4 linked regions of the Arabidopsis thaliana genome follow. The protein of the gene in region 4 interacts with the protein of the main gene of each other region in a pairwise test. Each region holds a gene or a part of one and is shown on either strand. Other genes may lie near its edges.

Region 1 (4,827 bases), on a different chromosome or scaffold from region 4:
GCAGAAAATTGGAGCATGTGTGAATCTTGGATCATATTATCTTGTTGGAGTTCCATTAGGATTGTTACTTGGTTTCCATTTCCACATTGGTGGTCGGGTAATAATCTTAAACTCTCCTTCTCATTCTCAAGTTCAAACACAAGACTAGTTTTATAGAAACTTTTATTTTGTGGTATTTTCATATTGTAGGGGCTTTGGCTGGGAATCGTAACAGCATTGTCTGTTCAAGTGTTGTGTCTTTCCTTAGTCACTATATTCACAAACTGGGATAAAGAGGTAAAACCTTTTAACTGATCGGCTCAGTTTTATATGTATAATAACTCTGCCATAATGTGATTCTGTTTCTTGTTTTACATGATTAGGCAAAGAAAGCTACGAACAGAGTCGGATCTTCAGATGACAAAGATGGTGACGTCCAATGATCAATAAACGTCTGAGGAAAAAGCAGTTGCAAATGAGCTTAATGAGTGCTTTATTCTTGTATGCCCATATGAACTTATTGGGAATTTCTAATTGATGTGGCCGTACATTGGTCTTTAGAAAACTTTACCATTGTTACATAGTTATTGAAATTCCTTGGATGTGTTTCCATTCTCATCGAGCATTAGTGTAATGAGATCAAAAATTCATATATGTAATACACCAACGTGTTCGATACTAAAAATTCTGGACTTTAAATTGGAAATGAACGAAGAATGAGTTTGGGATCAGAGCTCTCTTCTAAACATAGGCCAAAAACAGAGATTTTTCTATGAAGGGTGTACATGATGATTAGTTAATCATCTGTGCTTTATATTCTTTATTTTAGACAGAAAGAATGATTCAAACTATTCGTCATCACTAGTTGTGATATGAAAAATTTCAGGAATTACTGAACGGAACCAACCAGTAAGAGAGATCCTATAGGCTATAGGAACCTGAAGAACGACGTCAAGAAGAAGCCTGTTACGCGATATCCTATAGGAACTCGAGATCAAGTTTCCTCTTCAGATGAGATCTATCTGCACTGCAAATCCAAAAATCAAGAATTCATCAAAAGTTTTCATTTTTTAAGCTGACCAAGAACTGACTGTAATAAAACCAATTGTTTTTACCTGGTGATGGTTGGTCGGTTTGGTGGCCGCTCAGCTAAGATGGTGAAATCTAAAGACATTGGTGCTTGTCCATCATGGCTAGCTTGTCTCATGACATCAACACTCTGGTCCTTGAAACCATTACCAGACTTTCCTCGGTCAGGCATCACTCTTCTAAACTTATGTGCTGGTGACAGCACTTTAATGGCTTCAAGTTTACTATCAGATGACTTAGCATCTTGCTTGGAAACTGGTCTTGGGAGCTTTAAAGGGTCAGTAGGTGAAGGTGCAGATGTGAAGTACCTTTAAAAAGAAATCAAGGTTTGAGAACAAAACTAAATAACCTGTTCTTATGCATTATCCATAGGGGAGATTTTTAGGTACCTGTGTTTTAGAGCCTGCTGAATCGATATTCTAGACTTGGGGTCATAGGTGAACATCTTTGACAACAAATCTAAAGCATCCTCACTAACCGTTGGGAGTAAAGAACGTAAAGAAGGAGCAGGGACAAATTGATACTCTACATAATCAGGAAGGCAGATCATGTCAGGCCACTGATCTGCTTTTGGAGTCCCAAAGGCAGCAAAGATTTTGCTTAATTGATCAATATCACTGTTTCCCTGCAATGGAATAAGTAAGTTAGATAAACAAGTAGACAGATGCACTGGATTACTACACAATCAAAATGGAGGTTCACCTGAAGAAATGGTCTGCGTAATAGAAGTTCAGCAAAAATGCAGCCAGCAGCCCAAACATCAACTGCACCATCATATTGTTTTGCACCAAACAAAAGTTCAGGTGCTCTATACCATCTAGCAAACACCTATGAAAATTGCTAAAGGACATCAAGATACGAAAGATAGCAGAACTACTACATAAATAGCATTGTCACAACAAACAAAGCATACCTGGTGGGTAAACTTACGACCTGGGCTACCAAATATACGTGCTAACCCAAAATCTGCAAGTTTCAGCTGTCCATTGGGTCCTATCAACAAGTTGTTTGGCTTCATATCTCTGAAACAAATACGAATGATCATCCATAAGTTTAAATCAAAACAGACCTTATTAGAGATAGAACAAGTTCTGCTTCTAAGTTCCAATGATAGTACCTGTGCAGAACCCATTTGCCATGGCAATATTCAAGACCTTTCAATATCATTTGGAGGTAAGATTTGACATCACCAGGCGAAAGATAGAGATTACGATCTCGGATAACTGCTTCGAGATCAGTCTCCATGAACTCAAACACGATGTGCAAATTCTCCTTGTGAGGAAACGCATCAATCAACTCAATTATATGTGGATGCTTAAGCTCTTTAAGTAATTTGATTTCTCTAAGAGCTGTTACATTCACACCTTCTTTCTCTTTACCAAGTCTTATTTTCTTGATCGCTACAGTTTCTCCATTCTACAAATTGCCACAACAAAACAAATCAGCTTCCTTATACAAACTTAAACAAAAACTACACACTTTAAATCCATTAAGAACATAAAAATGCAAACTTTGACTTCTAAGAACACATATTAGTGTAAAGATCGAAACTTTAGCTGATTTAAAACCTAAGAGCTATCAGATTTAACCAAATTGTTCCCAGGAAGAGACACGTCAAAAGACACACGACAGAATTGGAACCCTAGTTTCGATGGGATCGACAAAAAATATGAAGAATTGAGAGAGGAATCATCTTCACCTTTGTATCAGTAGCTTTGAAGACGACTCCATAAGTACCTTGACCAAGAACCTCTCGCTTTAGATACCTATCAGCAACTTTCTTCGGCTGTTCCATCTCCGGAACTCTCTAATCGGATCACAAGCAATTGATCGAAACTGATCTTAATTAATTTGTTATCGTTAACGTTGAGGTATCTTATGATGCTCTGGAGAAAAAGTAGCCGTTAGAGCAATTACAGAAGGAATCGACATTTTTAGGGGAAAATATTGAAAAGTAAACGAAAAAGGAAAGAGACGCTCTAAAGCTAGAAATAAAACGAAGCTGGAAGCGTCTATCGTAACGACGTCGTTTAAAGGTTTATAAATGAAAAGCAAAATTGTTCCGGTTTACTCAACATTGACTCGTCAATTATTCTTCGGTTTAAAATGTTATAAGTTAGTGGTTAAACAAAAGATGATTGTGAATATTAACATTTTTTTAGCTGTATGAATATTGGAACATTGCCTAAACATACTTAGAAATTAAAAAAAAAATCCAAGAAAATAAAAAGCTGCATCAACAAGTTGCCAAATTAACCTTGCTCATATTTTCCGCAGCATGGACCAGGAGAACACTACCGGATTAACTTCCGTTTCATGAAGCGTGGAATCAAGCCCAAATATAAGGCCCAAATAACTATTCCGAGAAGGTTAGACAAGCAACTGTTAACTTCTGGGCCCATATAATGGGCTCATAAGAAAGAGATGCAGCCCAATCATTAAAGTTTGCACAAATAATTAGGCTGATCAGTCCACTTTTTTTTAGGTGACCAAAGAAAACAAAGTAAGCCTAACATTTGAGTATGAACCAGAAAAATTTAGGATACTTCAGGGTCAAGTATTTTGCTAGTGAACATTTTTCATCATACAAATTTTTATTTAAACAACTCAAAAAAAAACTTACACGATGGATAAAAAAACACACTTAAAAATAAGCCATTGAATTGTGAAAGAGACGAGACTCGTGAGGGTAATAAGACAAGTTCGTTGTAATAAATCTAGCAATAGATTCTGCTCAGACAGAGAAATAATTACCTGCTTTCGTGCCCACATCATCAGACTTATAATCCTGACCGTACATCAACCTATTTCACTATTTCGTGTTGAAATTTCTAGTTGTTAGGGCTAACAAATGATTTAGAATTAGGTCACCAAACGGAAACACTTGTACATTATTTTCTAAAAGAAATAAAGAATGGTCGGCCAAATTCATTTTCAAAGTTACATCTTAAAAATGTAGTGGACTAGTAGTTGGCAGGAACGATAATAATTGTTATTTTTATTATCTTTACCCAAAAAAAAAAAGAGTGAAGCACAAAAGCCGAGAAGGACGCATGTGACGCGTAGGGAATCTAACACAAACAATGTCAGACCCTTCCCATGTCTTTTCAGATGCACCCACCTGTTCCTTTTTTTCTTTTCTTTTTATTCTTCTATCACGAATATCTAAACCACTATAATTACGACTCTCTATCTATCATTTCTTCCAAAACATGACGTGGCCTCTTCTCTCTCTCTCTTTCCTTCTCTCTAAGTATGTTTAGGGTTAATAATTAGGGTTCCTCCTCTCTTTTGTTCTGTCTTTATATCTCCTTCATAGCTCTAATGTAAGAGATTTACCTCTTTTGGTGTTTTTGTTAATCCACGTTCTCATCAAAACTTTCTCATTGTTTTATGAAGAGTTAAAGGTCTTTACAGTTTGCTTATGTCAGATCCATAATATATTTGACAAGATACTTTGTTTTTCGATAGATCTTGATCTGACGATGGAAGTAGAGCTCCTTAAAGTTCAAACATGAGTTGAGCAGGGTAAAGAAAAGCTGCTAAGCTATGGATCCCATAAGCCCTAATCCTTGTAAAGTAAAAAAGGATTTGGTTATATGGATTGCATATCTCAGGAGCTTTAACTTGCCCTTTAATGGCTTTTACTCTTCTTTGGATTGAAGGGAGCTCTACATCTTCTTTCACCTTCTCTATTTTTTATTTTTCTTTATTTCTACTCAACAATTATTTATTCGGATTCATCTTTAATTTTCCGTT
Region 2 (3,357 bases), on a different chromosome or scaffold from region 4:
CTTCTTTTTTTTGGTTGTTGCTAATCGAGTATAAATTATAGGCGTTAGGTACACCAACCATATCTAATATCCATGTTATATTAGATAGATAAATTAGGAAAATAAAATAATACAACTCAAAATAGTTACTTTGTTGAAAGAAATTGAGAGGGAAAAACTGGAAGTGTATATTTAAGCTATTTTATTTTTAAAAAATATATAATTTCAAATAGCTAAATTTGTAAAATGCAAGGAGATAGTACAATATTTTAGTTTAATAACTTGTAAAGCACAAACAAGTTCGTAGTTAATCACTAGAGTAGCACCTACAATCCAATCCAAGTGAGAATAAAATAGTAACTTTTTTACTGAAAAAGCCTGATCAATAAACAGTTATATTCCTTTACCACGTCAGCCGTGACCCTTTTTTGTTCTGCTCTACACTCTCTTTTCATTGTTAAAAAAAAAAAATCAAATACTGTATGATAATTGATACATAGAAATAATAGAAGCTATTTAGTTTTCAGTAACAATTATAATTACTCTTAGAGTTATAAACTTATAGTTTATTAATCGAGAAAAACACGAATCTAATTAATTACCTCAAGGAAGTACAAACAAAAGTTGAATTACATGTTATTGATTATTCGAGAGAAAGATATCTACATTTGGATTTTGTTAAAAGAAAAATCAAAGCAAAGATTATTACAGAAGAGAAATAATAAGTACTTTGGTGAAAACAATGATCATCATTATCATCATCGTCTTCTTCATGGATTCAATTTAACCCACTCGTATCTTCCTCCACCAAGTGGCTCATCTTTCTCGAAATCGAAGTTATACCTAACAACAAATTCATTATCAGTTTCAAAAATTCGATTAAAAGATTTGAATCAAAAAAAAAAAACTTACTTCATAGAACATTCCAACAACTTATTCCGAAGATCTTTCTCCGCCACCTGAAAAAAGTCTTCTAACTCAGCTTCCTTCACCGTCTCATGGAGACTCTTCCTTAACCTGCGGCGAGACTCTACATCTTCAACAGCCACCGAAGAAGAATCCATGTTCATCGATTCCTCACTATACACAAAAAAATCAAAGACATTTTATAGAAATGTTTGTTACTGATTCAAAATTTTAATATCTGTAACAAATTAAACAAACCTCTTATTCAAATCATCGTAAATCCACGACGTTTCTGTTTCACGATCGTCACCGTTATTTTCCTGGAAAAACGAATTCAAAAATTTCAAAATCTGTAAATCAAAATTCAGTTTCGATAAATAATGCTTTCGTTGTCACCTCAAGATCTACAAATTCGATTCTCCGTTTCGATTTCTCTTCCGATGTAGAACAACACGAAACCGACGAATCTTCTTCTTCGATTTGACACTGTTCTTCAACCGGAGGAGAATCTCGCCGTCGTACTATAACAACACTCGTCTCCGACGCTCCTGCTGAATTTCTCGCCACAATTCCACCGCGATTCGTCGCCTGTACACACGGAGACAGAATTATCCTAGATTCCACTAAATCCACTTCCTCCTCCATCTTCCTTCGTTTCACCGTCGTCGTCGTAACTCCATTCTCTTCAACCACATCTCGTTCTCTTCTCCTAACCGCCGCCATAATCTCCTACGACGTCACCTTCCAGATCTCTATCTCTCTCTAAAATCACTCGTTATGTGTGCGTGTTTGTGTTTCTCTCTCTTTCTCTCTACTAGAGAGTCTCTAGCTCGCGTACCATTTGGGTTATTCTGTTATAAGATGGTGACGATCTTCGTTTTGATCGTAATTTGTTAACGGCCACGATTAACTCTTGTCATTTTCATATAAAGCCTCGTGTGAAGTAGGAATAGTAATTCTTTTAATATGTAACGGAGAATTTGACGGCGCCGTTAAAAATCGAGTATTTTATACCTTACACGATTGATACGTGTCTTTTATTCGTTACGATTACATTAATAGTTTCAAAGTTTACAAAATCAGTGCAATTAGTGCATATCTAGTTACTTTAGAATGATAAATTTTTTTGAATTCAAATTTTTTTGAATTAATATGTTGTTTTTATTTATTTTAATATAATTGGCTGGCTTTTCCAATAAATCAACGAGAATGAAAATAATTATTGTGGATATTAAGATAAAACTGTTTATTTTTTGTTATAATAATTACGAATTTATATTATAAAGATAACAATAATACCATCAAATTATCATATTAATTCACAGACGATCAAATAGATAAAAAAATGTGTGTAAAGCAATATAATGTATATGCAACATGGAATTTGACAACGATGTTATAGATCGAGTATCTTATACCTTTACACGATCAACATATGTCTTTTATTCGATGTGATTACATTAACGGTGTCAACGTTTACAGAATCAGTGCATATCTACGACTACGTTAACGGTGTCAACGTTTACAGAATCAGTGCATAATTTTTTTTTTAGAATGGTAAATAGAATTTGAATTCAATTTTTTAATTAATATGTTTTCTGTTTTTTAAAATAATTGGTTGGTGTTTCCAATGAAATAGAATGAGAATAATTATCGTGGATTTTAAAAATAAATTTAGATTTGATAATTTTTTGTTGTAATAATTGCGAATTTAGATTATAAAGACAATAAAAATCTTAGATTTATAGAGAAAAATGACAATATCATCCAATCATCTTAAATAGATTAAAAAAAATGTGTGTAAAGCAATGTAATGTTGTCACGTTACATTATTAGTGATAATATGTGTTTCTGTGTTAAGATCTTATCAGTATTTGACAATGTAGTTGTGTATAGTTTTTCAATGCATAGTCGTAATATTTCAATTTTGTGAGGGGGTCGACCGTACACATATCAAAATAAGGTATAAAATACATTAAGTCTAAAATACATTAAGTCTAGGGCCATGACGTATTTAACGGTTAGGTGATAATGAAATCAATGCTGCGACATGCTGTTTTGTTGTGGCAATACAATACGTACACAAACATATTCACATGCTTAAATATTACTACTAATTCACACAGTGAATTAAATACTACTAGTTCATATCGCATACATTTCGTTGGTAAAAATAAAAGAATTTTTTTCCATCATCATTTTCGTCTTATATTGAATTTTTTCTTTTTTTTTAATGCCGTCGTTCTGTATCGATTCTTGAGTTCACACAAGACAGTGTCTGCGCATATCCATCATACCATTCAATTTAATAATGTGCCCACGAGCTGCATACTCAATCATTACTAAACTGTCTCTCTCTTTTTTACACTCACTATAACAATGTGTAAGTATATATACATACTTATGAGATATTCAAAATAAAATAGTGAGCTAAACATATAATGTAGTTTAAAAATTCGCATAATATATGTT
Region 3 (4,795 bases), 3.4 Mb from region 4:
GTTTAGAAGAGATACGAACCACCATTGTCACCCTTATACCGATCCGAGCGATTAAACGAAGGCCGGTCACGAGAGACTTCTCCGGGCTCATAGTCTCCGGCGGCGTTGCGGCCGTCTTCTCTGTCGTTGCTTCCGGAGGGACGTACGACGAGACTGCTGATGTGAGGCGGGTGATGTTGCGTCGTCTGCTCTTTTTCTGTCGACCCCATTTCTCTCCGATTGTCAAAACTCACTCCTGGAATTTCTCGATGTCCGTTTCAGAGAAAAAAAACCCTAGGGGAGACTTGGCGATAGATACTGGTAACTGTTATTAATTTATCTTTTGGTCTATCAACTTTTGTCTAATTTTCAATATTGCCCCTTAAGTTTTATATTTAGTATGTTGGACTAGTATGACTGATTCATGGAGTCAAATGTATTGTGGTTCTGGTTTTCTTCTTTTTATAGTAAACAACAGTTCACATTTCTGGAAGAATCAGATTCAGTTATGATTTTTGTGTGTGCTATTTTTGTTGTTTATGATATCAGTTTTGATTATGTAATTTGGGTAACTGAAAATAATTTATCTTAGCAAAAACTGGATGACATATAGGATAGGCTTTTATTCCATGGTCTCATTATTGAAGGGTTGCTACTACACATGTTGATAACTTGATATGAAAAGTTCAAAATTGATCAAAATATAGAAACAATTAAGAAATACAGATCCTAGAAAGCAAAACTCGAGTATATATAGATTTTGTTTCATTGTTACTTCAGATGAAAAATAGGGTAAAGAATGGCCTGGGCAACAAGAAAACTAGCTCTTCAGCTAATAGCTAAAGGCTAACACCGACTTTCCAATTGTAAATGTTACCATTTTCATACGAGGGAGGCAGAGAGAGAGGAACAACACACACACACACACAACACATTTTTGACAAAGTAGGCGAATTCAGGGGAAGTCGGGATGATCAAGATGCTCAACCATGGACTCTGCCAAGGAGAGATAAACACATAAAACTGAGATCGATGAGAGAAACAAAGCGCAAAAAAAAGTTGTGAGATCAATGAGCAAACGAATTTCAAAAGTTTTTGCCGCCATTGATACCTAAACAATGTCCTAACGAAAAGTTAACAATTTTCTAAGCGGTATTCTGTAACAAGATCTTCAAACAACAAAGAGTGTTGCATCAATCAAGACCTAAAGAAACACATGTCAGGTTTTGGTATATACCCATTCTCTTTGAAGAAGAAAGAGAGAGAGAGAAGAGACTGATTTATGTGTTTAAGCGAGCCAGAGCTTTTGACTGCGTACCTTAAATGCCAAGGTCAGGGGAATTCTATTGTAAATCCACTACTGGTAGGCTTTACATTCATGGGTCCAAAGCCATCAAAATCTGAATCTGAATCCATTTCTCTGTAATCATTCCACTTTCTCGGAGAATCCTCATCTGGTCCACTCATTGTCGGAGGCACATAGAGCTCTGAAACTGGAACTGGAAGAGGCTCTTCACTTAAATATTTGTCATTCAGCATCTCCATAGTAGTAGCTCTACTAGCTGGATCATAACAGATAAGCTTCTTGAGCAGCGATATCACATCCCCTGAATGGTTGGGAAGGCATCCTTCAATACCAAGAGGAGATTCTACTTTAGCAAATGAGATTGACTTGTAGTCTGGAAGATCAACACAACCAGGCCAGACCTCTTCATTTAAATTTCCCAGCACATTGGTCACTCTGCTGATCTGATCAATATCTGAAATTCCTGGGAACAAAGGCTCAAGAGACAAGAGTTCTGCAAACACACAACCAAGCGACCATAGATCGACCTCTAACCCATACATCGTAGATCCATAGAGCAGTTCTGGTGGCCTAAACCATCGGGTTCCCACACAAGATGTCATCAAACCCTGTGTATCATCCACTGCTTCGTCAGCATCGTAAGAAAACGAGTTCCTACCGAGATCATCATCCATTTCACTAACAGTGCACGTTGCAAGGCAAGATATGTCTCCATCATGCACATTCGAGTCCTTATCAGTATCATCTCTAACAACCTGTTTAGCCTTGAGCTCTTCCACCTGTCGGAAGTACTCGTCTTTACTCATCGCTTCCCGTTCCTGACCATCAGACCCTTGCCTAGGTGAGTTCTCATAATCAGGAATAACTTCTGGTGGTTCGCTGGTTTCTCCATCTTTGTCTTCCAGTTTGTAAGCTTGTTGGTTTTCATCTGAAGCTACAATATCATGCTCCATGAGTATCCTAGCCTGTATATGAACCAAGAAGCCAACACACATTTAGAAACTCATAGATTACACTAAATGATAAGGTCTAGCCACTTGATTACACTAACTCTTCCAAATTTCAAGCAAACCAAGCATTTTTCATTCAGAGGTTTCTCATATTTGTGCATCAAACAATGAAATAACTAACACAATCAGTAACAATCATAATCTCACCTGACCAAAATCAGCAAGCTTAAGAACTCCATCATCAGAAATCAACATATTCCCAGGCTTCAAATCTCTATGTACAATCAAATTCCGATGACAAGCATCAACACCGGTTAAAATCTGAATCATCCATCTCTTAATCTCCCCAACCGAGAATCCATCCCCTCCTTCTACCTTCTTCTTCCTCTTACCATCTCGGATCACCGCAGCGAGATCCGACCTAAGAAACTCAAGCACAAGCACAGCGTTCTCTTCCTCACGCCAGAAGTATTCGTGCATAACAACTACATTAGGAGATCCATTGAGGATGGTGAGCGCGTCAATCTCCCGGAACGCAGATTGGTAATCGAAAATCTCCTTGAGCGCGACGATTAGACCGTCGGAGAGACGGCGAGCTCTGTAAACGTCGGCGTAAGCTCCGGATCCGACTCGCTCGAAGATCTCGTACTTGGCGATTATCTCCGGCCGGGTATGGATACTCCAACTGGTCGCCGGTTGTTTATCCATCTCCTTTAAAACGGCGTCGCTTTTCTTCGGATCTTTCCTGATGATGGATGATTATTCACATAAACGCTAACGAATTCACCAGTTTAAAAATCCAGTTCCCATGTTGTAATGACTAAAATGCCCTCACAAGTTTTGGAGCGGACAAGAAACCAAACCGCAGGGGGGGACTTTTATCACTTATGCCACTTTTTTGAAAAAACTGATCTGGACTGCCATAAGTTAATCTGAATGCCACCGAAAATGTGATATACCAGTTGTACCCTTAATGAGTTGATTAAAAAAATGAAAAAGAAATTCAAAAGCTAAATAAAGAAAATCGAGTTCGGAGATTCTCCTCTTCGTCGTCGTGTTCTTCTTCTTTGGTCGACGTTCATCTTCTTCGTCGGCCACCATCGATTTCCTCATGCCGCCGACTTGAAATCCGGCGTAAAAGCCACGAATTAGGTCAGTTTCTTCTCATATTTCCTTTGACATTGGTGCATTGTGATTTTAGATTGGGATTTTGAATTCTATATAATTCCCAGCTCGATTCAATTTGATAGTTTGATGATTGGTTTGCAAAGTAAAGAGTAATCGATTAGAGGTTGCCGAAACGTTATTTGAGGTGATGAGCAAAGGAATGTAGGTTGAATGTGAGTTGAATTTGAATTCCGAGATTTCATATTAAAGATTTGGGGGGTTTGTGTTTGCAAAGTTTAGATTAACCAATTAGTTTAACGAATAGGTATGTATTAACATTGGAAATCAATTGAAAGGTAACGAATTAGGTTCAGTAGAGACGAGTGCGACGAGAGATTGATTTCAACGTATGATAAGAGTACATGTGGTATAACTATTAAAATGTTTGATTGGAGTTGAACTGGTTGTATTTTCAGGAGCGATGAAGAAGAAGATCCACACTAAGGTACATTTTGACTTTGGAGGATACTATTCTGAAGTGAATGAGTGGATTGGTAAAAATTCACTATATGTTATATCGTTTAAGACGAGTAGTTTGGAGAAGATTAGCTATTCGATGTTAGTTGACAAGATCATGAAGAAGGTTGCGATTGATGAAGCTTCTGTCAAGTTGAAACTGAGTTACAATCTGTCTAAAGTTAGGAGAGAGACATATATTGTAAATGATGAGGATGTCTTCATATTTTTAACAGAATCTGATGAAGAGAGTCGGATTCCTGTTTTGCATGTGGAGGAATTAAATGGTATAGGAGTTGAGAGGAGAGAGGAAATTTCTGTACCGGAGCGTCGAAGTTCAGTTGGTGTAAATGTAATAGAGGATGATGTTTTAAATGAAGTATGTGAGATGGTGCATGATGGATATGATAATGATGTGAATGATTGTGAGAATGTAGTAGGTACGGAGATCGTGGCTATCGAAAGGCCGATGGAAAGGCCGGTGAATTCTGTTGAGGAACAAGATGAGGATGATAGGATTGATTATGATGATATTCACGATATTCCACGAAGTGTAGAAGTTACTCCGCAGGTTATAGAATGGGATGATGGTACGGGTATTGAAATTGGTCAAGAATTTTGTTCAAGGGAGGCTGTGTGGGAATTGGTTAACAGAGCTGCAAAGAAAGAAGTTTTTGGAGTCTATACTATTAAGTCAGACCCGTTGAGACTTATGCTACGATGCCGCCAAGCTTCTAAAGGGTGTACTTGGTATCTAAGAGTTGCGAGAACTAAAAAATCTCATTTTTGGAGTGTTAGAGTGCATAGAAAGATGCATACATGCTCTCGGAGTGTTGAGACTACAAGCAACAGTATACAGCGAGGCACACCAAGATTAATAGCATCGGTTTTACATTGTGATTATCCCGGAAATTTAGAGACCCCAACTCCAAAAAAC
Region 4 (4,601 bases):
TCTATATGTACGAGTACGATGCACTTTTGACTTGCGCGTAGAATAGTACGTTAACTTAAAAACATCACATGCAAATTTCTGTATAAATTGGGGTTTCATCTTTAGATCCAATCATTGATCCAAAGTACTTCCACAGTTCCACTACAAGTTGTTGGTTTCTATAATGCTAAAGAAAACTTATTGGAGCAAAATATATATCCGTTTTAGTTTATCGTGATCGACTGATTGTCAATTCGTAAAAGTAGTTATCTATCAAAGATAAGTAACGATGATTTTTCCTAAACAAGAAAATTTTCTTTTTATTTGATTAATTTTTTTCCAAGATATTATATATTGAGATTTGAGAACATGAAAAGATCACGAAGGACTTTGTGGAATGGACATAACATGTTGAGTAGCATACAGATGGATTCACTTTGGAGATGACCAAAAGTGTCAATAAAGATAAGAAAATAAATATATTTATCAAATATAAAATAATTTTACCTTACCTTAAAAAGAGTTTTTTCATTTATTATTTGCTATGAATGAGCCCTTTTGAAAGTTAAAGAGGTTAAAAAAATGGACTTTGATGCCAAAAAAAAAAAAAAATCTATGACAAAATTTTGTAATATCAAATGAAAAAGAAATTGCAACATAACAAATAAAAAAATAAGACAATAAAAAAATAAAAGAGGATGTGAAACCAAATCACTGGCACTGCAACTATTGGCCTAAAACTATTCACCCTTTCTGTTTTTCTTATTTATTTACATTCACTCCTCATATTTCCTAGATTCTCTCAGAGAAGCCCCTAATGTTTTAATAGTCACATTTCATCCCCAAGAAATCCAAAGACCTTCATACGAAGAACCTATATGAGTTACTTCATAAAAATTGAAATAACCGATGTATTCAGACCATTTTTTCTCTATAATCAAATGATTGAATATAAAACCAAATCAATATGTTGCCAAAAAAGAAACCAAATCAATATAAGCCAAAACTTGAAGAAGAAAGAAACTCTCTCTTCATAGCCTACGCATTCTCTTGGCTGGTGGAGAACTTTGATCAGAATCATCAAAAGACAATCGGCGTTTAGCGCCACTTCCTGAAGCCGGCGGTTCGCGAGAAACCGCTATTTCCGGTGGAGGTGTCATATGTTTCCTCTCCTCAATCTCTAGCGTTCTCTGATAACACAAATATACATTTTCCTACAAAACCCAACACTCCTAAGATTATGATCATCAACATCAAACAATCAAAATCGAATAAAAAGACACCAAGATTTATACATTCTCATTAGAAGTCCACCAAGAGATCGAACCAAACTTGTTAGCTATCTCTTCTCTAGTCAATCTAATATCCGATGAGGTAGAAGAAGAAGCTAGCAATGTAGTAACAGCAGCAACAACAAACTGTCGATACTCCGTAAAACTTATCTCTACATGGAAACAAAAATGTGATATCAATAAATGCTTTGATCTTGAGAAAAAAATGTGTTTCTTAATAGAGTTACCTTTAGTTAAAGCAAGAAGAGAATCAGAGGATCTTAACAACACCAAGTCTTTAGAAACAGAATGGTTGTCCTGAGAGATTTTAGCAAGGAAGTAGTTGAAGTAATGAAAAGGAGTGATCAAGTTCATCTTCCAGTCCAATGTGGATAGAATCAACAGTTCAGTTTTACGAATGACATCGGGTTTGAAAACGAAGTCATGATCTTGAGGGTATTGTGATAAACCAGGAACAATACGTTCCTCCATTTTAGCAGCTAATGATAAACAAGCTACTGATAACAATCGCATCGCCCATGTTTCATCTTTCTGCAACTACAAAGAAACCATCTTTAAGCTTTAATCTGAAGATAAAGGTGAGATTTTTATAGATAAATGAAACTGGAGATTGAAACTTACACCGATGAATCTTTTGTGGAGAAACAGATCGAAGTATGAGATTGCAATGTAAGCTGTTTGATGTTGGAACCCAAATCTTGTTCTTGTCTGAGATTAAGACAAAGAACCAATCAATCAGAGATTAAGACAAAGATCAAAAAAGGGAAAATCTTTTTGAGATTACGGACAGTGAGAATCCAATCGATGGCAATCAATCTATCGGAAGACGACGTCGTTTTAGAGGGTAGGGTTTCGAATCGGAGATTCTCTTTAAGAACAAGGTCTGCCACATAATCTTCATCATCGATCGTAGTAGTAAAGTGAGGTTCTTGCTTATCAGATCTCTCAATCGTCTCGTCGTCGTCTTCGTTTAGAGAAGACTCCGATTCGTGGCAGAGGAAGAGAGCGAGACTGTCTTTAGGCTCACCCATTTAACGGCGGCGATGATGATGAAGACGACGGCGGCGGCGGAGATAGAAGTGTTCTTCTTCTTCTGCTTCTGCTTCGGTGGTGTGTCCGTACACATCAAAAGGGGAATTATAAAGAATTTGTGAGAAGAGTGTTTTTTTTTTAATTTATGAGATGAGAGGCAAAGTTATCGCAGTGAATATAGGGGAAGAATAAGAAGGGAAGCTAAATCATCGTATTTGATTTTTCTTCCATTACTCGATTTGGGATTTTAGGAGCAAGTGACGAAAAAACAAAGAAAAAAGAGAGAGAGAGTGGAGAGAGAGAGAGAGTCTCCCGCGTCTGGTGCCGCCAAAAATAAGTGGGGGAGAGAGAGGGGGCGTTATTTAGCGGTTACATTTAAATTAAAAATCTTTATTATTTGATTAATTTTAGGTTTTATTTGTTCACTAATATTTGAGTATATGTATAATATCATCACTCTTTTTTTTTGGGTCGACAAATAATCACATTTTTTAAAGGAATGATTACTCTTTTATTTTTTTAATATCCAGCAGGATTACTTGTGTTTGAAGACTTTTTGATGCTAGTCAATTATGGGTTTTTTTTAATTTAACAAAATTGTTTTTATCTAATAGTATTGTATTTTCTTGAAAAAGATTTCTGCTATTTCCATTAAACTGTTTTGTATTTTGTTGATTATTTAAGTTTAAGCAAATTTATTTTAAAAAAACTTTTTTAATTTCGGAGTTGTCTATGATAATGTGAACTTTATTGATAAATTAAATGTTATTAATAGAAATAAATACTTAATGCAGGAATGGAGAGCGTTTAGAACTATTGTGGCTGTCTTAAATATATGAGATTTACACGTTTTAAGAACGTCCATATATAAATGTCATTGTTTTTACCTGTTGAACTTCCTTGATTACACTCTAGATTTCTTACATGAACAAAGTTCACGGATTCTGTTAAGAATGTTATCATCAAACTTTTTCTTCTATTTATTTGTTGTTTTGTACAAATGGAATTTTCTTTCGGTCTCTGAGATAAGATTTATAGGATCCTTTGAATTTGTATCAATCATTTAGTTAGGAAAGAATAATGATCCCATTGAAATTTATGTGCAGAAAGTTAAATCCCATTCCAAATACAACGTTCTTATTAACATTTCTCATTAGTGTATTCCACGTACCACCCCCTTTGTTGCTTTTGTAGTAACTTCTATTTTAAGAGGTTTGAATTAAAATGTACTTTATTCAAAATAGAATTGTGAACAGAAAACAGAGGAATAGCTAGTTTAGTTATTTCCCACTTATTGACTTCAATTAAATTCAGACCTAGAAATTCATTTTCAATGGAAGAAAATAAAGATCAAAAGAGCAATTTTGCAATAAGTTTTTTTTAGGAATTGGTGGGGGAAACACCATACCATTCCCACTAAAAAAAATCCTCTCAACTTTTTAATTTAGTTCCATATCATTATTTTTGCTAAGTCATATACAAATTTTCCTATAGTTCTATTGCAATTATTATTCAATTTTTCTTCTCCGTAAATCTTTTTGTTTCCTCACTTTTTATAGTTATATTCACGGTAACGAGTAATTAGGCCTACGAGTAATGACTTCCATGTTAGGTGAGAAAGTTGTATATGACTCATGTAGTAGATGTTACGAGACACGAAGATTGTGTATGAAAATTTATACAGTACGTAGATAAGAAGAGTAGATATACGTAAGCAAATTCACATAGATTGTAGGTAGAAATATAGACAAATACTGAATGAGTATATTTATTGTAAAAATAGGTAGGTCTCGTTAGCGGGTTCCAAAACCTTATCATGTGTTAAATTTTGATGTATACAAGAAAAATTGAAAGCAGAATCCGATGTATCGTAAACCATCCGAATTATAACTGATTATCCAATTGGATGAAAGTGGAATTATACTATACAATATGTAATATGTTAAGAAAAAAAAAGAACAACAATTTACTAATTTGTACTATAATTAGTCTTGAACAAACTTAAAATCAAATAAATATTTATTTATCCATCAGCAAATGAGGCTCCCATCTTTATATGTTTCTGGTCCCTTTTTTGACAAATTTTTTAAAAAATAAAAAGACTTGTATATATAGGCGCATGGCTTTGGAGCCGAGTCATTCAATATATAGGATAATTAATTTTTCTATTATAGTATTAATATTTATAAGACTAGATGTAAGAAAAGGGTATAAAACCAAGAAGACGCAAGATCCAAAATCTGCAACTTTTATGTGTATGTTAGTGAAGTATCAGCAGCATTTGTTCGATCTCCCCCC

Evidence for each region.
Region 1: the proteins of CYCD5;1 (region 4) and CDKD1;1 interact in a protein complementation assay, tested with the Arabidopsis thaliana proteins (one large-scale study listed by BioGRID).
Region 2: the proteins of CYCD5;1 (region 4) and KRP2 interact in a two-hybrid assay, tested with the Arabidopsis thaliana proteins (one large-scale study listed by BioGRID).
Region 3: the proteins of CYCD5;1 (region 4) and CAK1AT interact in a two-hybrid assay, tested with the Arabidopsis thaliana proteins (one large-scale study listed by BioGRID).

The regions. Positions count from the first base shown.
Region 1 is NC_003070.9:27,713,149-27,717,975, reverse strand, and holds CDKD1;1 (cyclin-dependent kinase D1;1), read right to left. Parts: upstream 3,067-4,827; 5' UTR 2,864-3,066; coding exon 2,768-2,863; intron 2,485-2,767; coding exon 2,186-2,484; intron 2,091-2,185; coding exon 1,982-2,090; intron 1,897-1,981; coding exon 1,771-1,896; intron 1,694-1,770; coding exon 1,458-1,693; intron 1,377-1,457; coding exon 1,095-1,376; intron 1,007-1,094; coding exon 958-1,006; 3' UTR 556-957; downstream 1-555. Other genes in the region: AT1G73700 (MATE efflux family protein), read left to right, coding at 1-97, 190-276, 363-422.
Region 2 is NC_003074.8:18,798,759-18,802,115, reverse strand, and holds KRP2 (KIP-related protein 2), read right to left. Parts: upstream 1,811-3,357; 5' UTR 1,609-1,810; coding exon 1,282-1,608; intron 1,206-1,281; coding exon 1,144-1,205; intron 1,060-1,143; coding exon 892-1,059; coding exon of another isoform or gene 888-891; exon of another isoform or gene 823-887; coding exon 750-822; 3' UTR 521-749; downstream 1-520. UniProt on the Arabidopsis thaliana protein: Binds and inhibits CYCD2-1/CDKA-1 complex kinase activity. Regulates cell division which is crucial for plant growth, development and morphogenesis. May regulate early lateral root initiation by blocking the G1/S phase transition.
Region 3 is NC_003075.7:14,286,619-14,291,413, reverse strand, and holds CAK1AT (CDK-activating kinase 1AT), read right to left. Parts: upstream 3,018-4,795; 5' UTR 2,944-3,017; coding exon 2,443-2,943; intron 2,251-2,442; coding exon 1,312-2,250; 3' UTR 1,298-1,311; exon of another isoform or gene 976-1,297; 3' UTR 501-975; downstream 1-500. Other genes in the region: AT4G28990 (RNA-binding protein-like protein), read right to left, coding at 20-209. UniProt on the Arabidopsis thaliana protein: CDK-activating kinase that modulates CDKD-2 and CDKD-3 activities by phosphorylation of the T-loop. Activates CDKD-2 C-terminal domain (CTD) kinase activity. Activates CDKA-1 probably by phosphorylation.
Region 4 is NC_003075.7:17,677,198-17,681,798, reverse strand, and holds CYCD5;1 (cyclin d5;1), read right to left. Parts: upstream 2,632-4,601; 5' UTR 2,303-2,631; coding exon 2,060-2,302; intron 1,980-2,059; coding exon 1,893-1,979; intron 1,809-1,892; coding exon 1,499-1,808; intron 1,424-1,498; coding exon 1,275-1,423; coding exon of another isoform or gene 1,269-1,274; exon of another isoform or gene 1,194-1,268; coding exon 1,011-1,193; 3' UTR 535-1,010; downstream 1-534.